4 linked regions of the Arabidopsis thaliana genome follow. The protein of the gene in region 1 interacts with the protein of each later gene in a pairwise test. Each region holds a gene or a part of one and is shown on either strand. Other genes may lie near its edges. The genes, in order: MBD02, IAA10, AT5G28040 and HAT3.1.

Region 1 (5,516 bases):
AATCTAGTTTATATGGTATGAGCTCATATAGTTTTATATGTTGAACAGATTGTCATGTTAACTGGGAAATTATCATAGATATTATGAGGATTTTGCTGTGTCTTAGTGTCAGATTTTGTTCTGGTTCGTTTTGTTTGTTTGCCTTTAACTTGTGATCCAGAATGTTGACTAAATACAGACGGTTGTGTCTAAATTCTGAATGTTAACACTTGTGCAGATAGATTTCTTCGCGATGTATCGATAGCTGATGATAATCAGTATGAAGATGAGAGATTAAACAAGTGTCAAGCTGTTGTTTGCTGGAATCCGTCTCAGTCTACTTACTCACAGTCCATAGGAACCTTCCAACAACCGCGGACACTAGAGATTACTGAGTTGGATGAGACAGGTGAGGATGTGGTAATGGATGATGCATCCAATGAGATAGAAGAGGATACTGGAAGCACCAGTCTATCTTTCCCTCAGCAAGGACAGCAGCAAGAGCAAGAGCACACCTATGGTTTTGGCTTGCATCCGTGGCAGCAAGCGCAAAACTGTATGATTCCGCAGCTTCCTCAAGTCAGTACTACTCCCACTCCCATCACTTGGTTCCGATGATACGGCTTAACCACGGGAAAACTGAATAGGGAATGCACGAAGCAGGATAGTAGAAGGCAGATTTGTTGTTAGTTTTTGTTTCTGCCTTTTGCGCAGATTAGAGATATGGCATAGTTTTGTTGTTGTATGTTTACCAAACTAATAGCTTCAGCCATATCTCCCCTAGGATGGTTTTGACTTTCGAATGTTATCTTTTGGATGTCGTTAAAATATCCTTTGAGATAAACTACGTTCCAACTTAACATGCACATCTACAGTTAAACAGACTCTGATCTATTCTTATCTGCTTTCTTGTGTCAGTCCTCTAGTGGATTTGTGAGATAATGGAATTTGGTAATAATCAAACTTTAGGTTTAAAAACTTTCAGCATGAAAATCCAGTTATTTGGAAGCAAAAACCAAAAGGACCCATCTTCTTCATAGAAAGTATGTTACACTGCAAAACAAAATAGATGGTATACACAAAAAACAAGCTAACCACATGCTTTCAGTTTCTTCGATAAGACAAACCCAAAAAACGAAGAAAGAAGACGGGTTATATACCAGAGAAGACGAGATAAGTTCACTCTCGTCTAGCTAGATTATCTATCAGCAAGTTCGTCGTTGGAGCCAAAGATTGATAGCGTCGATGTTTTTTTCTTTTTCGATGGTTGGTAATGTGAATTGTTAAGTCCAGACTCGGTTGGCGTACCTAGCTGCAACGATATATGATCATCTGGAGATATCCATGCCAGTGGATTAGCTGAAAAATAACAAGACAAGCGAAATGTTAGAAACTTGTAAAAGCATAGACGTTTTCATGTTAATAAAGTTCCCTAAAGACACCAATGTTCGGTTCGAGTATACGTCAAATACACTCTTGACTGAAAAAATGACATCAATAATCTAAAGCCTTGATACAAAAGATAACCACAATTATATTTATGTGCCTTGATAAGCAACACACCTTCTTTAGCTACAGGGGTGTTTGTATTATCGATGGAATCCAGTAGTCGAGCTGGGCGCTTCCTCACGTAGTCATCCTGCAGCGGTTTCGGGATTTGAAACGAGAACTGTGAAAGTTTCACCCCTTCTCCAATGTATTCGGAGTTGTCATTCAAGTACCTGCAAACCAGTAATAGTGGTTATAAGGGTGTAAAGAAGCTAGCTATACGTCACTGAAAACAATTTGGTAATCACTAAACGAATTGGTAAGTCACTAAGCTTTTTTCTCCTACCATTGTTGTCACTCTCAAATGCTGCAGGGAAGTATCATGGAAATAAGGATGATAGTTTAACTAACTTCTTGGCATAGTACATTTTCGTTAGTAAACAAAACACATGCAAGGATTTCTGTAATTTGCATAAGTGCCTAACTCTAGTTATGACCACAGAACAATACTTGAGGTTCCTACTGATTCAATATATTGGTTGACGAAAATGGTAAGACTGATACAGTGAGACCTCATCAAACATAAAAGTAAGGAACACTTTGTTAAATGTGAAAACGAAAATGTGGAAATGGAGTGGTAGAGAAACTAACTTTTGGACCTCCACAGTTGATCGAAGCTTCTTTCCAGACGGAGCAACATAATAACTGAAACAACCAAGATAAAAGAATGATAAAGAAAGCCAATACAATGGTATAAAGAAGAAAGACTAATATTAACATAAATGAGAGAAGAGTTAACGAACGACATACACATCAGCAAATCTGGTACCTCCTTCACCTCTAATCCGCAGTAAACGTTGCCAGCCAGCGGGTGGACGAGAGATATTCGGTTTATCAATAGCCCAAAGACGAGTTCCATCTTGATAGATATCAGCAGGAACATCACAAGAAATATCCGGCTTCCACTCACGCGCTGTATCGCAGAAAAACGGGTTTTCAAGAAGCTGTTCCCTAATCTCTTCATACTTCTGCATTGAAGGCATGAGTCTCCATTTGAAACAACTTGCACACTGAACCGTAAATGCCCCGATAGAGGGACACTGTGTTCTAGATGACAAAGGCTGAGATTGAACCGGTAGAACTTCTTCTTCAGTATCATCATTTCCTTTCAAGTCATAAACCACTAACTGATTCTCACCTCTATCCTCATTAGGTGAAGACGATCTTTGGACAGCTCGAGACTGCGACATACTCATAGAAACTACCTATAATAAATGGTTAGAGAAATGAATGTCAAGTGAAAACAAAAATGACAAATTTAGTTAACAAGAATCATTCATCACAATAACACTAGTCTCTCTATTAACATCATAAGAGAACATGATCAAGAAAACATTGATACGTGTAAAGAACAGTGAACAGTAGAAACCCTCGAACATTTCAATCTCAAAAATCAACAATAATCATAAAACAGAGCAAAGGAAACAACAATTATCATATAATCAAAGAAGAACATGAGCTGATAGAGACGAGATCCAAAAAAAAAACAATTTCATCGAAAAGCCGAAACAAAGATTAAAAATTTATCAAGAAGAAGAATCGTTACACGAAGAGGACGAGAGCAAACCAGGGTTTCAGAGATCGGTGAGCGAAGAAGGCTCTAAAGATCGTTGTGGTTAATTTGAGAATTTCATTTTTTGAGACAGAGCCAATTCAGACAACACTCTTTGTCTAGATAGAAAATGGGGAAACCGAGAAAGAGAAGAGAGAAAGAAACTGAATTTAATTTATTTTGTATAAATATAAAATTTGTTGTTACGAAAATAATTCTTAATTTACATTCACTTCAAAATATATCATGCTATAAGTAGGAGAATATTTGTGCTTTTGGGCTTATAAACAAATCTTACCATTAATCAAAATTTCCTTCAGAAAAAAAGAATCAAAGGATAATTCTTTCTAATATTAGATATGGATTCGTGTTGTGCATGCTAAATAGATGAAATATGTCTAACAAATATTTGCCATTGTTTAACAAATATTTTGAGACTTCCATAATATGTAAATTAAACTTTAATAAAAACAAATATATGTCAATTGTTGATTTTTTTTTTTTGGGTCAAAATATATGTCAATTGTTGATATAAAATATTAGGCCTGCGACTTCGGGTAAACCGAACCGAACCGAGTCGGTTATTTCGGGTTTCGGTTATTTTGGATTTTTGAAAATTCTTCCGAAACTAACCGAAATTTATTACGGTTCGGTTCGATTCGGATATTGGTTTCTTTGGTTTTTAAGTTTAAAACCCGAAAATAACCGATTCTTTTTTTTTTATTTTTTTTTAACATTAACAGATATACTTTATTAGAGGGATGATGTGTAATCCTATGGAGGATTTGTACAAGAAACAGAGGTACATAAGAATGAGAGACAAAAGTAACAATGTTTTCTAACTCCACTTTAGCTAATCGATCAGCTGCTTTGTTAGTTGACCGGAAAGACCATTTGATAATGGCAGTAGAAAACTTCTTCCGCCAATGTTGTATCTCCATGACGAGGTTATGAAGTTCAAAATTCCTTGTGTTCCCATTGAGTAAGCTTTCCACAGTCCTATTATCACCTTCAAATATAATCTTTCGATATCCTCTACTCCATGTATGTTGCATTGCCATCAAGAGAGCCTGTAGTTCCGCTTCTAGCACTGAGTTGCATAGTTGTCTTGTACCTTGAGCCGCAAGTAGATAACTGCCTGTGTCAATTCGTAAAATCCAACCAGCCTTTGGTGCTAGATCATTCCTTGAGAAACTGCAGTCATAATTGCATTTGATAAAGCCGTGAATAGGTTTTTGCTACCCTTGCCCGCTTCTGTCATTTAGACTTCGTCGTTGTGTGTCTCGCTGCAGAGGAATCCACTCATATGAGTCTGTTATCGCTTTTTGTACATCATCTTGCCAATTACTCCCTTTTCGCTGGTAAACTAACAAATTCCTGCTCTTCCATATGTGCCACAACATCCATAAAGGTATTTGTCTTGTGATATGGTCTTGTCTCGTATCAGTACAGCATTGAAGGATTAATCTGAATTTATCTTCAAAAGGTAAGTGTGGATTGAAAAACGCTGTATGTGACACCGGAGAGCCCCTCCAAATAGCTTGAACATAATGGCATCCAAAGAATAGGCGTTCTAATGTTTCAGGAGCTGCACAACATCGTTTACACTGTGAATCTGAAATGATATGTCGTCGTGTCAAGGCCTCGCCTGTCGCCAATGATTGAGTTACTATCCGCCACATGAAGTGCTTTAGTTTTGGTGTCGTGTCTAGCTTCCATACTACTCTCTTAAACTCGGGTAAACCTGGTGGGGGAACATAATCATGTTGTTGATTCGGTAGATGTGTACAGAGCCAATAACTTGATTTGAATGTGTATTCCCCATGCTTTGTGTAGTTCCAGCCTAGTACATCAGGGGACGGTTGTGATCTTAATCTTAACCTTGTATCAATCGTGCTTCATCTGCTTCAAAGAGTTCTTCTATTACTTCTTTATTCCACATGTTTCTGCCATCTTGCATTAGGTGCTTGACTTGTGTATGATTGGTGACCGTCGCATCACGTTTTTGAGGTGGTCTTGGTGGGTGTGTTGGAAGCCATGAATCAGTCCATATGTTTGTCTGTTTGCCATCTTCTATAAGGATTCGAAGTCCTTGCTGCAGGAGGTCTCGTCCTTCTAGAATGGATCTCCAAATGAAAGAGGGCTTCCTCCGGTTCTTGCATTCAGAATATTTGTTGTTTCAAAGTACCTTCCACGTAAGAGGCGAGTGAGCAGGGATGATGGTGCTTGAAGTATTCGCCACACTTGTTTTGCTAACATGGCTTTATTAAAGCATTCAATGTCCCTAAATCCTAACCCGCCTTCATTCTTTGGTATGGTCAGCCGCTTCCAAGCCATCCAGTGCATTGATCTCTTATCCGAGCTTTTACTCCACCAGTAAGACGCAAGTAATCTGTTGATATCATCACATATCCCCTTTGGAAGTTTGAAACAGTTC
Region 2 (5,142 bases), on another chromosome or scaffold:
CAAATGTCTCCACTGGAACAATCTTATAGATTTACCGCCATTAAAGGACCCTGAAACCTTCTCTCTTCCTTCTTCCATTCCCCATTGGCCTCCAGGTAACTCCAATTCCATTCAATTCCCGACTTCTCTTGTCAACGATTTCGAATTCAAAAATTCTATTTCAATTTTAGGTTTCTTAAGCCTTGACAAAAGAGAGATTTTTATTTCTCGATTTTCCTCAATTTCGTGAAATTCAATTGGGTTTTTCAATCAGATCTCTATATCCACTAATCTAATTCGAACAATGGTCAATCAAATCTTTTGCGTTTTCAAAGAGGATTCTTTAAAGATTGCGTTTTGAAGAAATTTTTCAGCTGGGTCTCTTAGATTTTGTCTCTCCATCCTTTGAAAACTGATCAGGTCAAGGCTTTGGCTCTGGAACAATCAATCTCGGCAAATTACAAGTCATCAAAATCACGGATTTTGAATTTATATGGAGATACAGATCCACAGAGAAGAAGAAGAACATTTCATTTTACAAACCAAAGGGATTGTTACCTAAAGACTTCCATTGCTTAGGTCACTACTGTCAGTCTGATTCTCATCCTTTGAGAGGTTATGTACTTGCGGCAAGAGATTTAGTGGATTCATTAGAACAGGTAGAGAAACCTGCATTAGTGGAACCTGTTGATTTTACTCTTGTCTGGAGCTCAAATGATTCAGCAGAAAATGAATGTAGTAGTAAGAGCGAATGCGGTTACTTCTGGTTACCGCAGCCTCCTGAAGGGTATAGATCGATCGGTTTTGTGGTTACAAAGACTTCCGTGAAACCTGAGTTGAATGAAGTTAGATGTGTTAGAGCTGATCTTACTGATATATGTGAACCCCACAATGTCATTGTCACTGCTGTTTCAGAATCTTTAGGTGTTCCTTTGTTTATATGGAGAACTCGGCCTTCAGACCGAGGAATGTGGGGCAAAGGTGTCTCTGCAGGTACTTTCTTCTGCAGAACTCGGCTTGTTGCTGCTAGAGAAGATCTTGGTATCGGTATTGCTTGTCTAAAGAATCTAGATTTGAGTTTACATGCGATGCCAAATGTTGATCAGATTCAAGCTTTGATTCAACACTATGGTCCTACACTAGTCTTCCATCCTGGTGAAACTTACTTACCTTCTTCTGTTTCGTGGTTCTTCAAAAATGGTGCAGTTCTCTGCGAAAAGGGAAATCCAATCGAGGAACCTATCGATGAAAATGGTTCGAATTTGCCTCAAGGAGGAAGCAATGACAAGCAGTTTTGGATTGATTTGCCGTGTGATGATCAACAAAGAGATTTCGTCAAGCGAGGAAACCTTGAAAGCTCGAAACTTTACATTCATATTAAGCCTGCTCTTGGAGGAACGTTCACGGATCTTGTCTTCTGGATCTTCTGTCCATTTAACGGACCAGCAACCTTAAAACTAGGACTCGTCGATATCTCATTGATCAGTATTGGCCAACACGTCTGCGATTGGGAACATTTCACTCTCCGAATCAGCAATTTCTCTGGTGAGCTTTACTCAATCTACTTGTCTCAACACAGTGGCGGCGAGTGGATCGAAGCATACGACCTTGAAATCATTCCCGGAAGCAACAAAGCCGTTGTTTACTCTTCAAAACATGGTCACGCAAGCTTTCCTAGGGCTGGGACTTACTTACAGGGATCGACAATGCTTGGGATTGGGATAAGAAATGACACTGCGCGTAGTGAACTCTTGGTAGATTCGAGCTCACGGTACGAGATCATTGCAGCGGAGTATCTCAGCGGAAACAGTGTGTTGGCAGAACCGCCGTGGTTGCAGTACATGAGAGAATGGGGACCAAAGGTTGTGTACGATTCAAGAGAGGAGATAGAGAGATTGGTGAATCGATTTCCGAGGACGGTTAGGGTTTCGCTTGCCACAGTGCTTAGAAAACTTCCGGTGGAATTATCCGGCGAGGAAGGTCCTACAGGACCAAAGGAGAAGAACAATTGGTATGGCGATGAAAGATGTTGAAATTCTCACTGTTGGGAAACAGATGTGGTGAGATTACCATCGGAGCCCTAACTGTGTAACTTGTAAAGGAAGATGAAGCTTTGATTGCGCAAGAGATTAATTACACAATTAGCGTAGGATTAACGTAAAACTTGTCGTTAGAAGTGTATACAAGTGGGTCCCATCATGTATTTAATTAAAATAATAAAGTTATATAGACGAACAAACCTCCACCAAACGCAACGCACACATTCGTGTACCGTTTCCGATTTTTCGTTCCTCCAATTTCATTCTCTCTCTCTTTAAGAAAAATTCCTTGTTTTTGATCCGAGAATCGAAGTCGCCCTCGAATCAAGATTAAAACCTCGTTTAGTTCTCAATTTCAGTTCTGTGGATCCGTGCGTGACCTCAAGTTTTTTTTTTTTTTCTGTCTCGAAATTCAGAATCGTAGAGGTGTTGAAAGTTGAAACCTTTTTTTTGGTTTGCTTGGTTAATGGGTTTCTTCAAACTTGATCGATAATTGGATTTGAATCAAGGGTTTTAGTGTTCTTGCTTTGTGTATTCGTTTGGCAATTTGGGATAATGAATGGTTTGCAAGAAGTTTGTTCGTCAAGTGGGTCGGTGATGATCGGACTACCAGCTGAAGAAGACGAAAACGCCGCACATTCGTCGGAGGATTCATCTTGCCCCGACGAGTCAGTGTCAGAGACAGAGCTCGACCTAGCTTTGGGTCTTAGCATTGGTCGTCGGAAGGTTCGATCGTCTTTGTCTTCCTCGTCTTCTTCTCTGACCAGGGAAAGTGGGACCAAACGCTCTGCTGATTCTTCTCCGGCTGCCGCCTCAAACGCAACCAGGTAAAAAATTCATCTTCGAGACTTTATATTATAACCTATATGAATGATTGGTCTCAGATTGCTTATTGTTACAGAATCAAAGCAACTTAGAGGATAGAGCTTTTAGACCTTAAACTTTGAGAATGAATGAATCACAGGATTGAATCAAATAGAGTGTTCCCTGAAATGTTTAGTTAAACTTTTGAATCATATTGGTTTATACTTGTTCGTCTTTTGATTTAATATCTTTTGGTAATGGAGCAGACAAGTTGCTGTAGGTTGGCCGCCTCTACGGACTTACAGAATCAACAGTTTGGTCAATCAAGCAAAGTCTTTAGCTACGGAAGGCGGCTTGAGTTCTGGCATTCAAAAGGAGACTACAAAAAGTGTAGTGGTTGCTGCTAAGAACGATGATGCTTGCTTTATCAAATCGTCCAGGACTTCTATGCTTGTGAAGGTGACAATGGACGGAGTTATAATTGGAAGGAAGGTTGATCTCAATGCTCTGGATTCTTATGCAGCCTTAGAGAAAACTTTGGATCTAATGTTTTTCCAGATTCCTTCTCCTGTAACAAGTCAGTTACTAATTCTGTTTCATGAGATTCCATGTGATTCTGTTTTTCAAATTCTGTGTCTCTTGAAATTGACTGGTTTTGATTGATCGATTTGTAGGATCCAACACACAAGGATACAAGACAATTAAGGAAACATGTACTTCGAAATTACTGGATGGCTCATCGGAATATATCATAACATATCAAGATAAAGACGGAGATTGGATGCTTGTAGGAGATGTTCCTTGGCAGTAAGTGACTACCCTTATAACTTCCCATTCATCATCTGTATTTGTAATGTGGCACATCCATTTCAATGAAAACGATCTTTTCATCTTCTCAGGATGTTCCTCGGGTCTGTGACAAGACTGAGAATCATGAAGACATCAATTGGAGCTGGAGTAGGTAAGTAGAGAGTCCTATATAGCAAAAACAGTTTACATCTCTTTGGTCTGTAACTCATATATCACATTCACATATATACATGTGCATATGTTTATACATGAGTGTACATATGTCTTGTGGTCGTTTGTGAATATCAAACAACAGCTTAACCTTGTCTTTAAAGATCTTTGTATATTTAGGGTTTTTCACTCTATTGGTGCCTGATCCAATATACCACTATAACAACAAAGGCATGCATCTGGATTAGGGTTTAGTGATGAAATCAAGCTACAGTAATATGATAGAATCACCAGTAGTTTCATTCCCTGGAAAATGAAATACAGCTCTTGTGCGTACAATAACAACAATCAATCAGCTTCACGAGGTTTTCTTAGCATAAAAACCTAATAAACCTAACACAGTCTTGAAACAGAATGAAAAACGTTTTCCTTCATTGGCTCAGTTAGTCTTCAAGGTTACAGAGATTGGACTTCTAACTCGCTGCATCAGATTATGAGAGTTGACCCAAGTCAACTGCCCTTGTGCAAAGCTAGCCACCTTCCCTCCTCTGTTTTTCTTCTTCAATACAAACCATACTCTATAGCTCAGCGTCTGATCCACGTGTTTGAACACAAGTCTCTTAGGATTGACAATAACTTTGATCCCCTCTGGAGCCTTGACATTCACTGAGTATATCGAGTTAGGACTCCCAACGTTAGTGACACGCCTTGTGATCATCTCCGTAGTCTTGCCACGTTTGAAAATCACGGCTATCGACGGGTAATTGAGACTAAAACCCGGGTTTTTCCGCAATATTCCATTGCAGCTCACGTTCTTATGAGTGATTGCTAAAATATCTGATCTTGTGAATCCAAGAGTGCAGAGGTAAGTTATGTAATCCACTGGTTGAATGTTGTAAACCAATCCCGGGTTTATCGCCTTTTGCGGATTCACATGCCCTGCTCCAATCGCAAACACACCGGCTGGTTTGTTACCATCCTTTATCGCTTTCCCTTGACGATCGTACAAATCCGCTGTTGTCATCAATGCGGATTTGATTGCAGCTGGAGACCAGTTCGGGTATGCAGACCGGATAAGAGCAGTGATTCCGCTAACATGTGGACAAGACATTGAAGTTCCTGACATTACAGTGAAGTTAACTCTTCTTGAATCATAAGGAAGTCCGGTTGGTCCTAGATTTTGAGGCCAAGCCGCAATGATATTGACTCCCGGAGCAATCATATCCGGTTTTAGTATCGAAGGATTGGCTAAACTCGGTCCTCGAGCTGAAAACTGAGCCACCTCCGGTGCTCGTGACCTCCCAATCACCGTACCACCAAAAATTATCCGCGCCTTTGGTTTCACCGTGGCATTAACATA
Region 3 (6,724 bases), 3.5 Mb from region 1:
TAGGTTATGCTGCTAAACGCAAACGTAATCGTTGTTCTAGTTGCCCAAATCGTATCATTATTGCACAAACATATACGGTCATTTAAAGTACATAGCCATATTTATGCATGTTGAGTACATATTTATGTATGTGCAAGGTGCAAATGGTTTCATGACCAAATATCTTTAATCTTCTACTTAATCACTAGATACCGCGGGTTGATTATTTACGTTATAAATTATATTATTTTTTTAATTCTATATCATCTATATTTAAATAATCATATTATATTTTGAATTTATCATTTTACTTTTTATATCTATTTATTTTTGATATTATATTTGTATTTGTTTGGTTTGATCTTGTTTAATTAAGAAAAACTGTTTATTATACGCACATTATATAGAGAGTGTATTTTTATGGTACGTTATTATGTGTTTGTTATATAGTATTTTTTTGTTAAAAATGAACGTATTTGGCTTAAAATAGTTTTCTTAACTAATACTTATATACATGTTTTTTTTATGATGAGTTATTACGTGCGTTCTTAACTAATATAGATGATATTAAATTAAAAAAGTAATTTAATTTCAAATGGTTTTTACAATATAAAAAAAAAAATTCTAGAGTTCAAATATTATTAATATTATAAAAAATTTATAGATTCTAAATATTATAAATACCAACTTATTAAGAGGTACACTGCGGGTTGATTCTTTTCCATTTATTTTATAATTTATAAATTTATGATTTTGTAAACTATAAAGTATATGATATTTAATAAGATGTAGCTCTTATAGTATTATTCGGCATTTACTATATAGCTAAATATTTATATGAATAAGATGAATGTTATTAAGTTACTATCATAAAGTTCAAAACTAAGTAAGTTTAACTAAATTGTAAGATAACTTAAAGATCGTCCAAACAAAAAATATGGTATAGGATTTAACCCGTGGTGTAAAATAAAATGAAATTTGAAAACTAAATAAAATTATAAACTAAAATTAAAAAAAAGTTCTTTGGGAGAATCTAAAAATAAGAAAGTTCTTTGAGAGATTTGGATATAGAGGATCTTTTTTTTCAATTTCCCTTAATCATAAACTAAAATAAAATAAATTACAAAATTATAGTTTTTTTCTTCCTTTTTTTTGTGCCAAAACATCTAAATAGAAAAGATTCTTTACATCTAAACCCCAAAACCACTAATTAGAGAAACGTTAAAAAAAATTTCCTAAGCAAAAATAGAAAAAAAAAAAAAAAAAAGAAGAAGAAAGGTTTTGTTTCTCTTTCTCTCCGCCGATGGTTGCGCAAGCGGAATCTTCTCTCAGCATTCACCTCGGCGTTTCTCCTTTTTCAGCGTTCACGTCGGCTTAAAAAGTTGCAATACCTAAAAGTTCAAAGAAGAGGGCAACATCTCCATCTTTTCCCATATTGCATCTAGAATGATGGGAGAGAATCTAACGCTTAGGCATAAGGTAAACCTTTTCCAAAGAATTCAAGTAATCAACAGCTCTTTCTCTGTTCACCACAATAAAAGTATGTTCATCGATTTCAATTTTAGACAAACCCTTAAAATTAAAATGAAAATCAAAAGCCAAAATCAATAAACCAAAATAGAGGATAAAAACTCTGTCAATCAAAATGGAGATAAGAATTAAGAATACTCACTTTCCTCACCAAAGCTCAAGCTCATCTTCAGTAATCGCATCTCTAACAACACGCTTATCTCTCGATCAGTCTTAGCACCAGAAAGCATCGTCAAAGCTCCATTAGAAGTGATTAACGAACCTTTCTCATACTCAATAGCTTGCTCATAAAGCTATACAAACAACAAAATCACAAACTCAATCTATTAAATTCGTCACACAAGCACTGATAAATATTCTGTATAGCAAAACATTTCTAGAGCTATGCATAAGAAATACCTTGCTATATGAGAATTCGGAGGGATCATTTAGACTGAGGCAAATTGTGGTTGTGGTAATTGTTCGATATGAGATGGTTATTTATAGTGGATCATTTAGACGTTAGAATGTTCTAGATATTTTAATTTAGGTAATATTCTGATATTCAAATATCTTGAGAATATATGCTTGTTATTAGTTTACAAATCTAAACAAAAAACAATACCCAAGTGTTAATGTGGTTACCTTTTTTGTAGGGAAATTTTGCCAAAAGATATATTAACAATGATTGACGAAAATTAACGAAAAATTGAACTCAAAATTTGAAAAAATATAAATTAGTTATGGAAGATGCTAAAGATTACCATTTTTGTAGGAAAGAAATCGATCACATTTATGTTTTTAGATATGACATTAAAATATTATTACAGTTTTTTCTAGAATTCAAATAGGAAACCATTTGATTTGAAAATAGTTGTTTGTTATAACTACATATACGATTTATATATTTTCAAATCAAAAACTAAATATTGTTTAAATATTTTTAGGCGTAAAGCCAATTAAGAACGGAAATACAGATTTCTCTAGTATATTGTGTGTTTATTTGAGGTAACAGAAATTAGATTTTGTGTTGCAATTGATAAAAGAAGAATAAATTTTGGTAAGATATCATTAGCATTTAAAACTAAAATTATTTTCGAATCAAATAATTGTAGATATGGTTAGTTATGATTGATTTCCGGGTTTTGTTAATTAGGAAATTAGCATAATGAATTTCGTATAGTTTTAGGGATTGATTTGTGCAATTTATGAGGGTAGTAGTTAACAATATCCATGTTTAGGCAAGTAGTTAGTGCAATATCTTAATTGTTTATCAAAAATTTGGTTATTGTCCTAAAGAAAATATTTTGTCTGATTGATTTTGTAGGGACTAACCATACAATATCGAAATTGAAAAAGGATTTTTCGACACAAATCGTCCCCAAAAATGTATATGTAGATATATCAAAGAGTTATAATAATAACTTCAACAGGTAACGAAGAGAAGACATAACACCAAAGATTCTACACTTGACACGTCTTCGGAATACATAGATCAAACTCCAAAAGAATACATGTTAATGTTCATTAATCATTAGATGTATAATATCATATTATATGCATCACACAAAAAAACATTATAAATAGCACAAAAGAGTTTTTTTTTTTTTTTGAACTCTACCAAAAACTATAATTTATCAGCTAAGAACAAAGGTTATTCACTCCTAATCGACAAAATTAAAAAAAGATTCAATCAAGAAAAAAAAATACTAAAACCCTAAAAAAGATTTCATCACCATCAGAAATTTTCATTAAGATTATTACTTTTGCTAATACTATACCTCACCATCATAATCTTTCTTCATCATTTTCTCATAACTTAAAGAACCCATTGTAGTCTTTCCTTATGCATCATCCTCCATTAGGCATTGTCTTTAACTCATTCACCGTGGCTCTAATCTGTTCTTGAACCAATTCTAATCTCCTCGAATACACTTCCAGCTCAAGAATCTGTTGTCTCCTCCACCGTTCGTCCCCTACTCCCTTACCACCAAACCCTAAATTCATCGACGGCATTAGCATCGGACTCAACACACCGAGAGCATGAGCACCACCTCCAGGAAACCCACCCGTTGCAGCCATCATCATACCCGTCGTACTATTCATCATCTCCTTAATCATGGGCGATACACAATTCTTAACCGTCTCTTCAATCAACACTCCAAGATTCCTCCCATCACCAAAATCACAACCAACAGCCACATTCTCGTTAAGATTAACCGCATTCGGTATCACCCCGTCACACGGAGCAAGAACAGGCTTATCCTCGTCGATCTTCCCGATCCTAGACCGTGATCGTTTTCTACTTATCGTCACTTTCTTCTCTAAACCATTCTCCGAATCAACATCGACATTCGCATTACCGATAACAGAGACATTAAAACCCGAGCTACCATTCGCGTTATTTACATGATTAGTTTCTTCTAAATCCATCACATTATTATCTTCAAAACCAATAATTTTCCCAGTTTGATTCCAAATCTTCCTAGAGATATCAAAAGTAGCTTGATCATGAGGACTTTTAAAGAACACTTCTTTACCAGAACTAAACTTACTCATAACATTCCTATACTTCTTCTTCAACCTCCTTAGCTTCTCCACAAGCTGATTCTTATTAAACTCTAACTGTAGCTTAGATTTAATCTGTTCATAAAACGGCGCCGTATCAGGCGGATGAGAGCTGTTACCACGGTGGTTTGTGATGTAATCGAGAAAGCCACGGAGAAGCTCGATCTCGTCTTCGTCAGTCCATAGTCTCTGGAATAAACGTCGTGAATCATCAATCGGTGGTCTCTGATGAACGATTTCAGTCATACGGTGCCATTTCTGATCGGAATCTGATGGAATTGAAGCTACAGGTACGGCGGATCCAGCGGGAAGAGCGACGGTTACGGTTCCTGAGGATGATTTCGTCGCCGGAGCTCTGGAAATCATTGACGGAGAATTCAGATCTTCGTATTCTGGATCGGGATCGGGATCGTGATCGTCGTCTTCGGCTTCGTTTGGTTCGGGTATAACAACATCTTCGTCGGATTCAGTTTCTCCTCCTCCTCTTCCGCCACCGCCACCGCCGCCGTCTTCTTCTAGATCTGGTGATTCAGCGGAGAAATCAGTGTCACGTTGATCCGATGCCATGAGAAAAACGTAGCGAGAGAGAAATTTTTCTGGTAGATCGAATCAGATCCAGAAAGAAGGAATTGGGTTCACGAGGATTGATACGGGTTTGTTTTTTGGGTGGTGGTAGGGTATGGAGAATATTGGAGATGAGTAGGGGTAGTTTCGGGATTTTAAGAGTTGTAATTATGACTAAGGGTGTTGCGGTTGCAGGCAAGTGGTCCAGTGTTTGTTTCTTTTACCCGTGCTTTGTTTGGGTTGTTGCGGTTTTAGTTGAAGCGTGATCATGTGTTTAAAGTCAATGGTCTACCGCAACCGCGGCGAAACAGAAAAGCGTTCGACAAACTTGATTTTGTTATTCTGTGTACTGTTGCGTTTCTTCAACGTCCCATATTAACGGGTGTTGTGATTGGTGACTGTTGTTTATGACGGTTAAGAATGTTTTTAGAGATTATAGAAAAAGCGATTAGAGAAAATGCGATGACATAACAATGAAAAAAGGTGGTTACTTTAAATTGAAAAAAATTGTTATAAGGAAGGAATATAAGAGATTAGATAACATATAAAATTACTTTTACTATTAATAATCTCTTAATAGAACAATACAAATAAAGTTATATTGAAAAAACTAATACAGTATCAAAACAATTGGTAAACTCACAGATTTTTCATGTGGCTTACAATCGGCTTGTTTTAATTTTTAACCGCTCACTTCATTTGTTGTAACACCCAATGGCTATTTTTAGGTATGACTGGTTTAAACGCAGTGGATATTGTATGACTTGCGAGAGTTTGTAAAACGGACGGTTGTGATTTTAAACATTATGAAATATTTTTCAATGATATGGTTAGCTTTTGAAAATTGGTGCATTTACAGAAATTTTATGAATGATTAACCAGCCGGTTTGAACGAAATTAAACCAAATAAATATAATTAATAATTATAGAAAGTATAATTACACCAAATATTTTTTATTATAATAATAAAATGTAACATAATTTAAATATAATTAATAATTAAAATCATATATAACATTCTACATAATTATTCAAAATAAATAAATTTCATAGTTAAATGTTATTACTCCATGCATTTAGTTCATGAAAAAAATATCTTTATACTAATATAAGGAAAGTACCTTTAGAAAATTCACATTGCCTTTTCTAAAGTATTACTAACCAATGCCATTAGAAGTATAATTTCAAAGTCCAAATTAATTCACCTCATTAAGAATAAACAAGTCAAATTACATAAGATCTATTTGTTTTTCTCGCGGGTTAGAGATCTTATACATATGTTATGTTAGAACCATTACTTGACCAAAATCAAGAAACTCTTTACTTGATCAAAATCGCTGGTTACAAATCTTATATATACTGCTTTTTCAAGAAACTCGGCTCTCTAAATCCTTATTGCTTTGAAGTACGCTTTAACCAACTTCCTCATTATGCATTGAAATTTGGCTTGGTGTTGTGGTAAATCTGACTCTCAATCTATGAATTTCTATAGCTATGCTTTAAACTCGATTTTGAATCTCTATAGCTTTGAAGTGGTGGAAAAGAACCAAAAGTATGCTTTTCTTTTTATCGCTCTCTTGATTTTGTTTCAGGGTTTTTTATTATGTTACACATGCTTTATATATATATATATATATATGTTTGGTGTTAATGGCTTCTCATTCTTGACTATGCAAGTTAGTAAATTTCTCCTTATGTCGCTAAATTTTCTATTTCTCTAGGTTTAGATTTAGAATTATAGTTTTGGTGATGACTACTAAACAAATTTGGTGCTTCATAATAGGTAATTATCTCAGCTCTACGTCTTCTCGATGAGGTTTTGCACCAACAAATCGATAATTGTTGGACTATTGGGCTCTCTAACCAATTCACATGAGTAGGAAGAACTTTGGGATATATTGTTAATAATGAATCCTTATGAATCTAGTACCTATTCAATGGAGTTAACAAGGACCACTTTACTCCAAAAGGAGCCATAGATAACCTCCTTAGCGCGAAATCATTTTGGTTAATGAAAGGACTATTCTGGAGAGACTTTGTTCTCTACCTTACAAACTTGGTGTTGCAAATGAAGTTGTAGAGTTATATTAATGTATAGTTATTG
Region 4 (7,233 bases), on another chromosome or scaffold:
TCTAGCCAACCCTCCTTTCAGTATATGAAGAGGCAAGATACAAAAACTGAACTAAGAACATGCATAAACATACTCGCAATGACAGAGGTGAAAAACAGAGCCATAACCTCTTCTTTTTTTCCCCTTTTTTCTTTAGCTAACTCAGATTTAGCTATGTTGTCCATGTATGTTACAGGTTTTGCATGCAGAAGTGCCTTCCTTTATCGGGGACACCAATGTTGTTAAGCTTTCTTGGAAAGAAGCCACAAAGCCATTAGCCTATACAAGAGCTTTGTTAGTATTGTTAGTTTTGCAGGTTTCTTATCATGCTTCCCAAATATGATAAAATGCTTATCATGGCTCATCTTCTTTTCTGATTTTTGGTTTCTCAGATATACAGACCTAATGTATGGCATACCCCCGGATATTGATGCGTTTCATAATTTTATGGACAAACTCTCAGAAGACTTGCTGAATAAACTAGATATGGAGGGAATGTGCGAATTAGAAGATGATCAGGTTCAAGCACTTGTGGGTTCATCAGGACTTAAACAAGCACAAGACACGTTACCAGAAAGTAGGATTTTCTTACATGAAAATCCAAAAGTACCTTGTCTCTTTTGGAGGATACGAGAATCGGTAATATTCTATATAATAACCATCTACTTATTACCTTTTAAGAAATTATCAAGATTTACTTTTTTGTTTTTGTTGTAGACATTATTAAAATTGGTGACGTCCAAGTCATGGAAGAAATTCCTAGGTTTTATTAGAGACCAACTCTTTCACCTCATTTGTTGGGCTTATGCAGCCTCTGACTTAGTCAGTGCTACTAGAATTATGCGCAACTGGGAGGTAGAGTATATTCCTCTGTGTCCATGGTATCTTTGCTCCTTTTGTCGACCAGAGTATCTTGGAGAAGATGAAAATCCTGAGAAAGAAGATGATGAAAATCCTGAGAAAGGGCATTACTGTTATGGAAATGATATAGAGGATTGCCTACTATACATCAAACAGCATGGCATTCCTAGAGAGATCTGCAAGAAGTTTGACTGTAAGGACTGGCAGCCTCCAAATGCTGACGACCCACATATGCACACGACAAAATTAAAGAGTGTTCGAAAAATTGAATCAATGGAGGAGGCGTTGCTATTGCTTCCACATTTTCCCATAGGAGCGGACTTAGTTGTTTTTAAGGAATTGTGGACCGTAGGAGAGGAGATTTATTATGGTCCCGGAACAAATTCCAGAGGTTTCCGCTCATATCATGCAGTGATAGTATCCAGTATTGAGATCTATAAAGGAGAAGTGGTGGCCATCTGTAAGATGAGCAATGGTACTAAAGTTTGTGACGAAGGATATGTTAGGGTTTCTCTAGCGACAACATACATGGTTGTGGGTGCCAGTCCTAAAAAAAAAGAACATGTTCGGGCTACTTCTAAGCCGATGCATCTTCTCTCTGAATTCATCATCATAGATATAGATGAGAATGAGAAAGAGAAAGAAAGAGAGAGAGAGAAAGAAACTGAAAGCGAAGAGGAGAATCCAGAAGATAACCAGAAAGGGAATCCAGAACATAACCCGAAAGAGAAGTCCGAAGAGATGCAATATCCTGACTTTGGTGCTAGCAAGTTTCATAACTCCTTGAACGAGCACATCATGCCTGATTCTGACAAGGTACAGAGACGTGAATACCTGTGTATATCTCCTGTTTTACTCAAACCAACTATTTTGGTGTGGCACATGAATTTGAACGGAATCGGGACTCAGGGCCAATTTTTTTCATATTTTCCAACAGGATAAATACCTGATTCTGCACAATAGTTTCTTGGTTGTGTGATATTGTTCTTTCCATTATCGTGTTCTTCTTATTTTAGCCGTTTTCTGACATTTTTTCAATGATTCCAGAGCTTGGGCAATGTAAGTGGAGAAGAAATCAAGATGGTTACGGAAGGTTTGACAAGTTTGAGTAAATTTGGAGAGAAAGGTCCTCAAGAAAGAATGCACGAACCTGTAGAAATTGTTGAAAGGTAAGCTGATTTGGATCCAAAGTTGAATGTGAGTCTTTTGAATGTTTGTGACTTGTGATTCATGGTTGTATGTTTCCTTTTTGCTACGACAGAGGAAAACGGCCTGCAAATGAAGCCGGTAATGATGTGGGTACAAAGAAGGCCCGTACAGAGTCATCAGGTTGTGCACATGGGATTTGAGGGAATCACTTTCATGGCCTATTTTAGTAAAACAAGAGTATTTCTTTTGTCTATTAGCCAGGTACAAGTTTTTGTTGGCTTTTTAAGGCTCCTTAACATGTCACGGGACGAAAAAGAGAGAAACAAAACAACAATACCAAGACATTGATATGCAAATGGGCCTCATAAGTAGACCCATTAAGAATATAATGCATAATGAAGCCCAAATTACGCCGTTTCTCCGTTCCCTTTGTCTTCTGAGCGACCTTGCAAGGCTCTCTCTTCTTTTTTTCTTCTTCTTCTCAACTCACCCACCGAGTTTCTTCTCAATTCTCGCGGGACATTTCGCGGGCGAGGGAAAAAGGTAAAATTTTTGGCGGATAGAGAGATCGAAAAAGCTTAACATTTAGTGTCTGGGTTGTTTTCTTATCTCGTAGAAATTTAGAAAATTCAATACTCAGCTTAGCAATACCCAAATCTAACCTCGTTATAGCTAAGATTACTTTATCGCGTTTTTTCTTCTCTTGTGCTCATCGAAAACCATATCAAGGGTCGATCTGTGTTTTTTGTCTGATGTTCTTGTTTAAGATCTCTGTCAAGCACGTAAGTAGCTTAGGAACTAGACGAAGCAATCGCAGAAATATTTACCAAGCTCCCATTTTTCTTTTGTGGGTTTTTCTCTTGTGTTTGCTCATATTGATTCTGATCTGATATACGTGTGTTTTGCTTCTTTGTTTGATTATATAGGAATCTACAAGTATTTAAACCTTTGCTGATTTAGAAACGCCTGAGTGCATCATCTTCGAGGATAGCAGTATAAACATAGCTAGTTGATTGTAGAGAATGTATAAAGCAGTAAGTAAGCGGGTAACTAGAAGTAGTGGATCTGGTTTGAAGCAGACAAATGTAGATAATGGAGGAGAGATTAGTCCAACTGTTGACAGAGTATCTGAACAAGGCAAATCATCAGAGGCAGGGAGTCACATGCCAACTGATGCAAACGGAAATGGACATTTGCATCATGAGATTATGGATCATGGAAAGGGGAATGAAGAACAGAAACCAACCCCTCAAACCGTGAAGAAGGATTCTAATACCAATACCAAATTTTCAGGGTCTCATCGTGAGCTTGTCATCGGTCTTCCTTGCCGTGGACAATTTGAAATCCACAACCGGTCCAGGGCATCTACGAGTTCGAAGAGGTTAGGAGGAGGTGGAGAAAGGAATGTGTTGTTTGCAAGTCACAAGAGAGCTCAGAGATCTAAGGAAGATGCTGGACCATCTTCGGTTGTTGCTAATTCCACACCTGTAGGTCGACCAAAGAAAAAGAATAAGACTATGAACAAAGGACAAGTTAGAGAAGATGATGAGTACACAAGAATCAAAAAGAAACTTCGATACTTTCTAAACCGGATTAACTATGAGCAAAGCCTAATTGACGCCTATTCGTTAGAAGGCTGGAAAGGTTCAAGGTTTGTCTCTTGATGACATTTGTTTTCCCTCTTATTCATGCATTATTTGAGAGTTATAGGTATCCTCTGTGAGATATATTTCTGATCTCACTCAGTCTTGTTGATTATGTGTTCTTTGTAGCCTGGAAAAGATAAGGCCAGAGAAAGAGCTTGAACGAGCCACAAAGGAAATTTTGCGGCGCAAGCTTAAAATTAGAGATCTTTTTCAGCACCTTGACACACTCTGTGCTGAAGGAAGCCTTCCAGAGTCTTTATTTGATACTGATGGAGAGATTTCTAGCGAGGATGTAAGAGAATATTGTTCTGAACTCAACCTTTGTTCCCTTGTTTATCCTGATAGAACCAGTTTGTGTCTCTAGAAGTATTGATAATACGAGCAGTTGTTTAATCGCAGATCTTCTGTGCAAAATGTGGTTCAAAGGACTTGTCTGTTGATAATGATATCATACTATGCGATGGGTTTTGCGATCGAGGCTTTCACCAATACTGTCTTGAACCACCTCTGCGGAAAGAAGATAGTAATATTCTCTGCCTACGTACTTGGTAGTGTTTTAAGCAGTTCTTGCTGGTATCTACAGCTGTCTTTTTTGTTGGTTTTAATTTTTGTAGTTCCTCCGGATGATGAGGGTTGGCTATGCCCCGGATGTGATTGCAAAGATGACAGCTTGGACTTGCTTAATGATTCTTTAGGGACAAAATTTTCGGTCAGCGACAGTTGGGAGGTATATAACTATATATGTTGAGGTTTTTATTGTTAAAGAGGAGAAAACACTTAAAAACACACCTGCCTTGAACTTTTGTGTAGAAAATATTTCCTGAGGCAGCAGCAGCGCTGGTTGGTGGAGGTCAAAATCTTGACTGTGATCTTCCTTCAGATGATTCTGATGATGAAGAGTATGATCCAGATTGTTTGAATGATAATGAAAATGATGAAGATGGCAGTGATGACAATGAAGAATCTGAGAACGAAGATGGTAGTTCTGATGAAACTGAATTCACATCTGCATCTGACGAAATGATTGAGTCATTTAAAGAAGGGAAAGATATAATGAAAGATGTAATGGCCCTTCCATCTGATGATTCTGAGGATGATGACTATGATCCTGATGCCCCGACTTGTGATGATGATAAAGAAAGTTCAAATTCTGATTGTACATCAGACACTGAAGATCTTGAAACTTCCTTCAAAGGAGATGAGACTAATCAGCAAGCTGAAGATACACCACTTGAGGATCCTGGCAGACAGACGTCTCAGCTCCAAGGTGATGCAATTTTAGAGTCAGATGTTGGGCTTGATGATGGTCCTGCCGGTGTATCCAGAAGGAGGAATGTTGAAAGGCTGGATTACAAAAAGTTGTATGATGTGAGTGATCTCTCTTTTTCTTGATAATCGATTTCTATCTGGCTTTGGAAAAACCTCTGAATGGTATTTTTCTTCTATGTGCAGGAGGAATATGACAATGTTCCGACTTCGTCAAGTGATGATGACGATTGGGATAAAACTGCAAGAATGGGAAAAGAAGATTCCGAGTCGGAAGATGAAGGGGACACTGTACCTCTGAAACAGTCTTCAAATGCAGAAGATCATACTTCTAAGAAACTTATACGGAAGTCGAAAAGGGCAGATAAAAAGGATACCTTAGAAATGCCACAAGAAGGTCCTGGAGAAAATGGTGGTTCTGGTGAAATTGAAAAAAGCAGCTCTTCAGCATGTAAACAGACAGATCCCAAAACTCAGGTAAAAAGATATAGCTGTCTTGAGGCTTTAAGGTGCCAATCTTACATTATTATGAGGGAGGGAGCAATGGATTGAAAGGATCCCTCTTTTATGCAGAGACTGTACATATCTTTTCAAGAGAATCAATATCCAGACAAAGCCACGAAGGAGAGCTTAGCCAAAGAGCTACAAATGACAGTTAAGCAAGTAAGAAGTTTCTCCTAGTAAATTGTTTGTTTAGTTCTCCCTTTTAGTCGACCTAGTTTCATCTCTGCTAAGAACTGATTATGTTCTGTAGGTTAATAACTGGTTTAAGCATAGGCGTTGGTCGATAAACAGCAAACCTTTAGTTTCAGAGGAAAATGTCGAGAAGTTAAAAACAGGCAAGGAAGGTGAATGTGAGACATCTGTTGCTGGAAGTAGCAAACAAACTATGGAAACCGAGTCAGTTGCAGAGAAACCAACCAATACTGGATCACGGAAAAGAAGAAGAAAGTAGACTTTAGATTCAATCATGAAGGTTTTAGATCTAATGCAAGGACAATACTGGAACACATACTTACCCAAACCCCGAGATATGAAGACACCAAACCCTGCAAAGCATCGGGTTTGTTCAGTTCTTTGTTTCACATTTTTGGGGTACTTTGAAGACCTTGAAATTTGAGGCAAAAGAAAGAAAGAAAGATTTTCTTCGAAATTGGATGATAGGTTCATTTTTAACAGTTAAAGAAGTTAAGGCTTTGTGTTATGATTATGAAAGTTTTTGTTTATTTCCATCTGGAGAGATGTTTTGAGTTATGGTTTCTGTAATCGATAGAGACCGGTTTAAGAGATCAAGAGATTTAAACTTTAAAAGTCTTGTTTGAACCGGTTTTAAACCCTCAAATGTGAACGTTTAACCGGTCTGTAATTGCTTATTATTAAAGGCCCATTAAGAGCCCATGGATGTTTATGATACAGTATTAGAGTCCTAGAATTGGGTAACGTGTTGCAGAAGGTAAACGAAAATGAAGAAGGTGCTGAGAGTATACGGCGGCGTTATGAGGCTGGTGAGACTTTTGCCGGCGGATTCAAGGCCGTATTACGCCAAGTACGCCAGGGAGAATTTCGTTAATTACCGTGAAGTCGATCAAAGCGAAACATCCCTCGACGAACTCTTCCAGCGAGCCTATAATCACTCACTTTGGGTACTCAAGAAGGTAACAAAGATTCTGGGTTTCTTTTAAATCTAGGTACCCTTTGTGTTAACTGTCTGTTCTCAATCATTTGCAGTACTCAATTGACGAATCAGCAGCGACGAAGTTGAAAGAGATTTGTTTTGAATAATAACGCACACCAAGTGTTCGACGTTATGTCCCTGAGAGTGTTGGAACAAGTTTGGACGATTTGTTAAATGGGTACCATCAGTTTTCTACTTTTGATAGCTATATCAAGAACAGGGGTTGTTCATGTGTCTTTGTCTTTCCTTTTTAGTTGTCTTGACTTTCTGTGATTGACTGCTGAATTGGTCGTTGTCTTGTTTGAGTAGCTAGCTTCTTGTTTGTTTCCATGATCCTGAATAAAATTGTTACATTCTTAGATTCGAAAACATCACATTACTTAATCTCATCTTTGGTAATGAAAGAAACTCATCAGAGCAAAGTAGAAGTGGCAGTTAAGTAATAACGAGAGAGAAAGATTAGGGATTGTTTGGGTAATTAAAGTGATATATATGTAGCTAAGGGACAATAAACAGTAGCTAAGAGTTTAGGTCCTTGTCGAAAACTCGAAAATCTTATATGAAACCAACCTAACCAAAACCAAAGTCTTTTTGAGATTGTTTTTGCTTCTGGAGTTAAAAGTAGAAGCTAGAGAGAAAAGTTGGACTACTTAATAA

What was found.
Region 2: the proteins of MBD02 (region 1) and IAA10 interact in binary tests that used the Arabidopsis thaliana proteins (3 or more experiments, as listed by UniProt).
Region 3: the proteins of MBD02 (region 1) and AT5G28040 interact in binary tests that used the Arabidopsis thaliana proteins (3 or more experiments, as listed by UniProt).
Region 4: the proteins of MBD02 (region 1) and HAT3.1 interact in binary tests that used the Arabidopsis thaliana proteins (3 or more experiments, as listed by UniProt).

What each region holds. Positions count from the first base shown.
Region 1 is NC_003076.8:13,522,548-13,528,063, forward strand, and holds MBD02 (methyl-CPG-binding domain protein 02), read right to left. Parts: upstream 3,252-5,516; 5' UTR 3,074-3,251; exon of another isoform or gene 2,729-3,073; 5' UTR 2,724-2,728; coding exon 2,278-2,723; intron 2,173-2,277; coding exon 2,119-2,172; intron 1,701-2,118; coding exon 1,543-1,700; intron 1,339-1,542; coding exon 1,178-1,338; 3' UTR 856-1,177; downstream 1-855. Other genes in the region: AT5G35320 (DBH-like monooxygenase), read left to right, coding at 218-597. UniProt on the Arabidopsis thaliana protein: Probable transcriptional regulator.
Region 2 is NC_003070.9:1,057,236-1,062,377, forward strand, and holds IAA10 (indoleacetic acid-induced protein 10), read left to right. Parts: upstream 1-2,234; 5' UTR 2,235-2,494; coding exon of another isoform or gene 2,495-2,573; coding exon 2,574-2,845; intron 2,846-3,047; coding exon of another isoform or gene 3,048-3,088; coding exon 3,089-3,399; intron 3,400-3,496; coding exon 3,497-3,629; intron 3,630-3,721; coding exon 3,722-3,791; 3' UTR 3,792-3,974; downstream 3,975-5,142. Other genes in the region: AT1G04090 (vacuolar sorting-associated protein (DUF946)), read left to right, coding at 1-95, 400-2,012; SDD1 (Subtilase family protein), read right to left, coding at 4,222-5,142. UniProt on the Arabidopsis thaliana protein: Aux/IAA proteins are short-lived transcriptional factors that function as repressors of early auxin response genes at low auxin concentrations.
Region 3 is NC_003076.8:10,034,315-10,041,038, forward strand, and holds AT5G28040 (DNA-binding storekeeper protein-related transcriptional regulator), read right to left. Parts: upstream 4,688-6,724; 5' UTR 4,624-4,687; coding exon 3,340-4,623; 3' UTR 3,270-3,339; exon of another isoform or gene 2,723-3,269; intron 1,803-2,722; 3' UTR 1,229-1,802; downstream 1-1,228.
Region 4 is NC_003074.8:6,761,828-6,769,060, reverse strand, and holds HAT3.1 (Homeodomain-like protein with RING/FYVE/PHD-type zinc finger domain-containing protein), read left to right. Parts: upstream 1-2,463; 5' UTR 2,464-2,532; intron 2,533-2,581; exon of another isoform or gene 2,582-2,771; intron 2,772-2,915; 5' UTR 2,916-3,011; coding exon 3,012-3,640; intron 3,641-3,761; coding exon 3,762-3,927; intron 3,928-4,034; coding exon 4,035-4,158; intron 4,159-4,249; coding exon 4,250-4,362; intron 4,363-4,445; coding exon 4,446-5,003; intron 5,004-5,087; coding exon 5,088-5,378; intron 5,379-5,474; coding exon 5,475-5,564; intron 5,565-5,655; coding exon 5,656-5,856; 3' UTR 5,857-6,300; downstream 6,301-7,233. Other genes in the region: AT3G19515 (apoptosis inhibitor), read left to right, coding at 22-87, 176-273, 372-618, 697-1,656, 1,888-2,009, 2,102-2,189; AT3G19508 (complex 1 protein, LYR family protein), read left to right, coding at 6,365-6,556, 6,630-6,683. UniProt on the Arabidopsis thaliana protein: Binds only to large DNA fragments. Recognizes a DNA fragment carrying 8 copies of box7 motif of the light-induced cab-E promoter of Nicotiana plumbaginifolia. Also recognizes the box7m1 motif.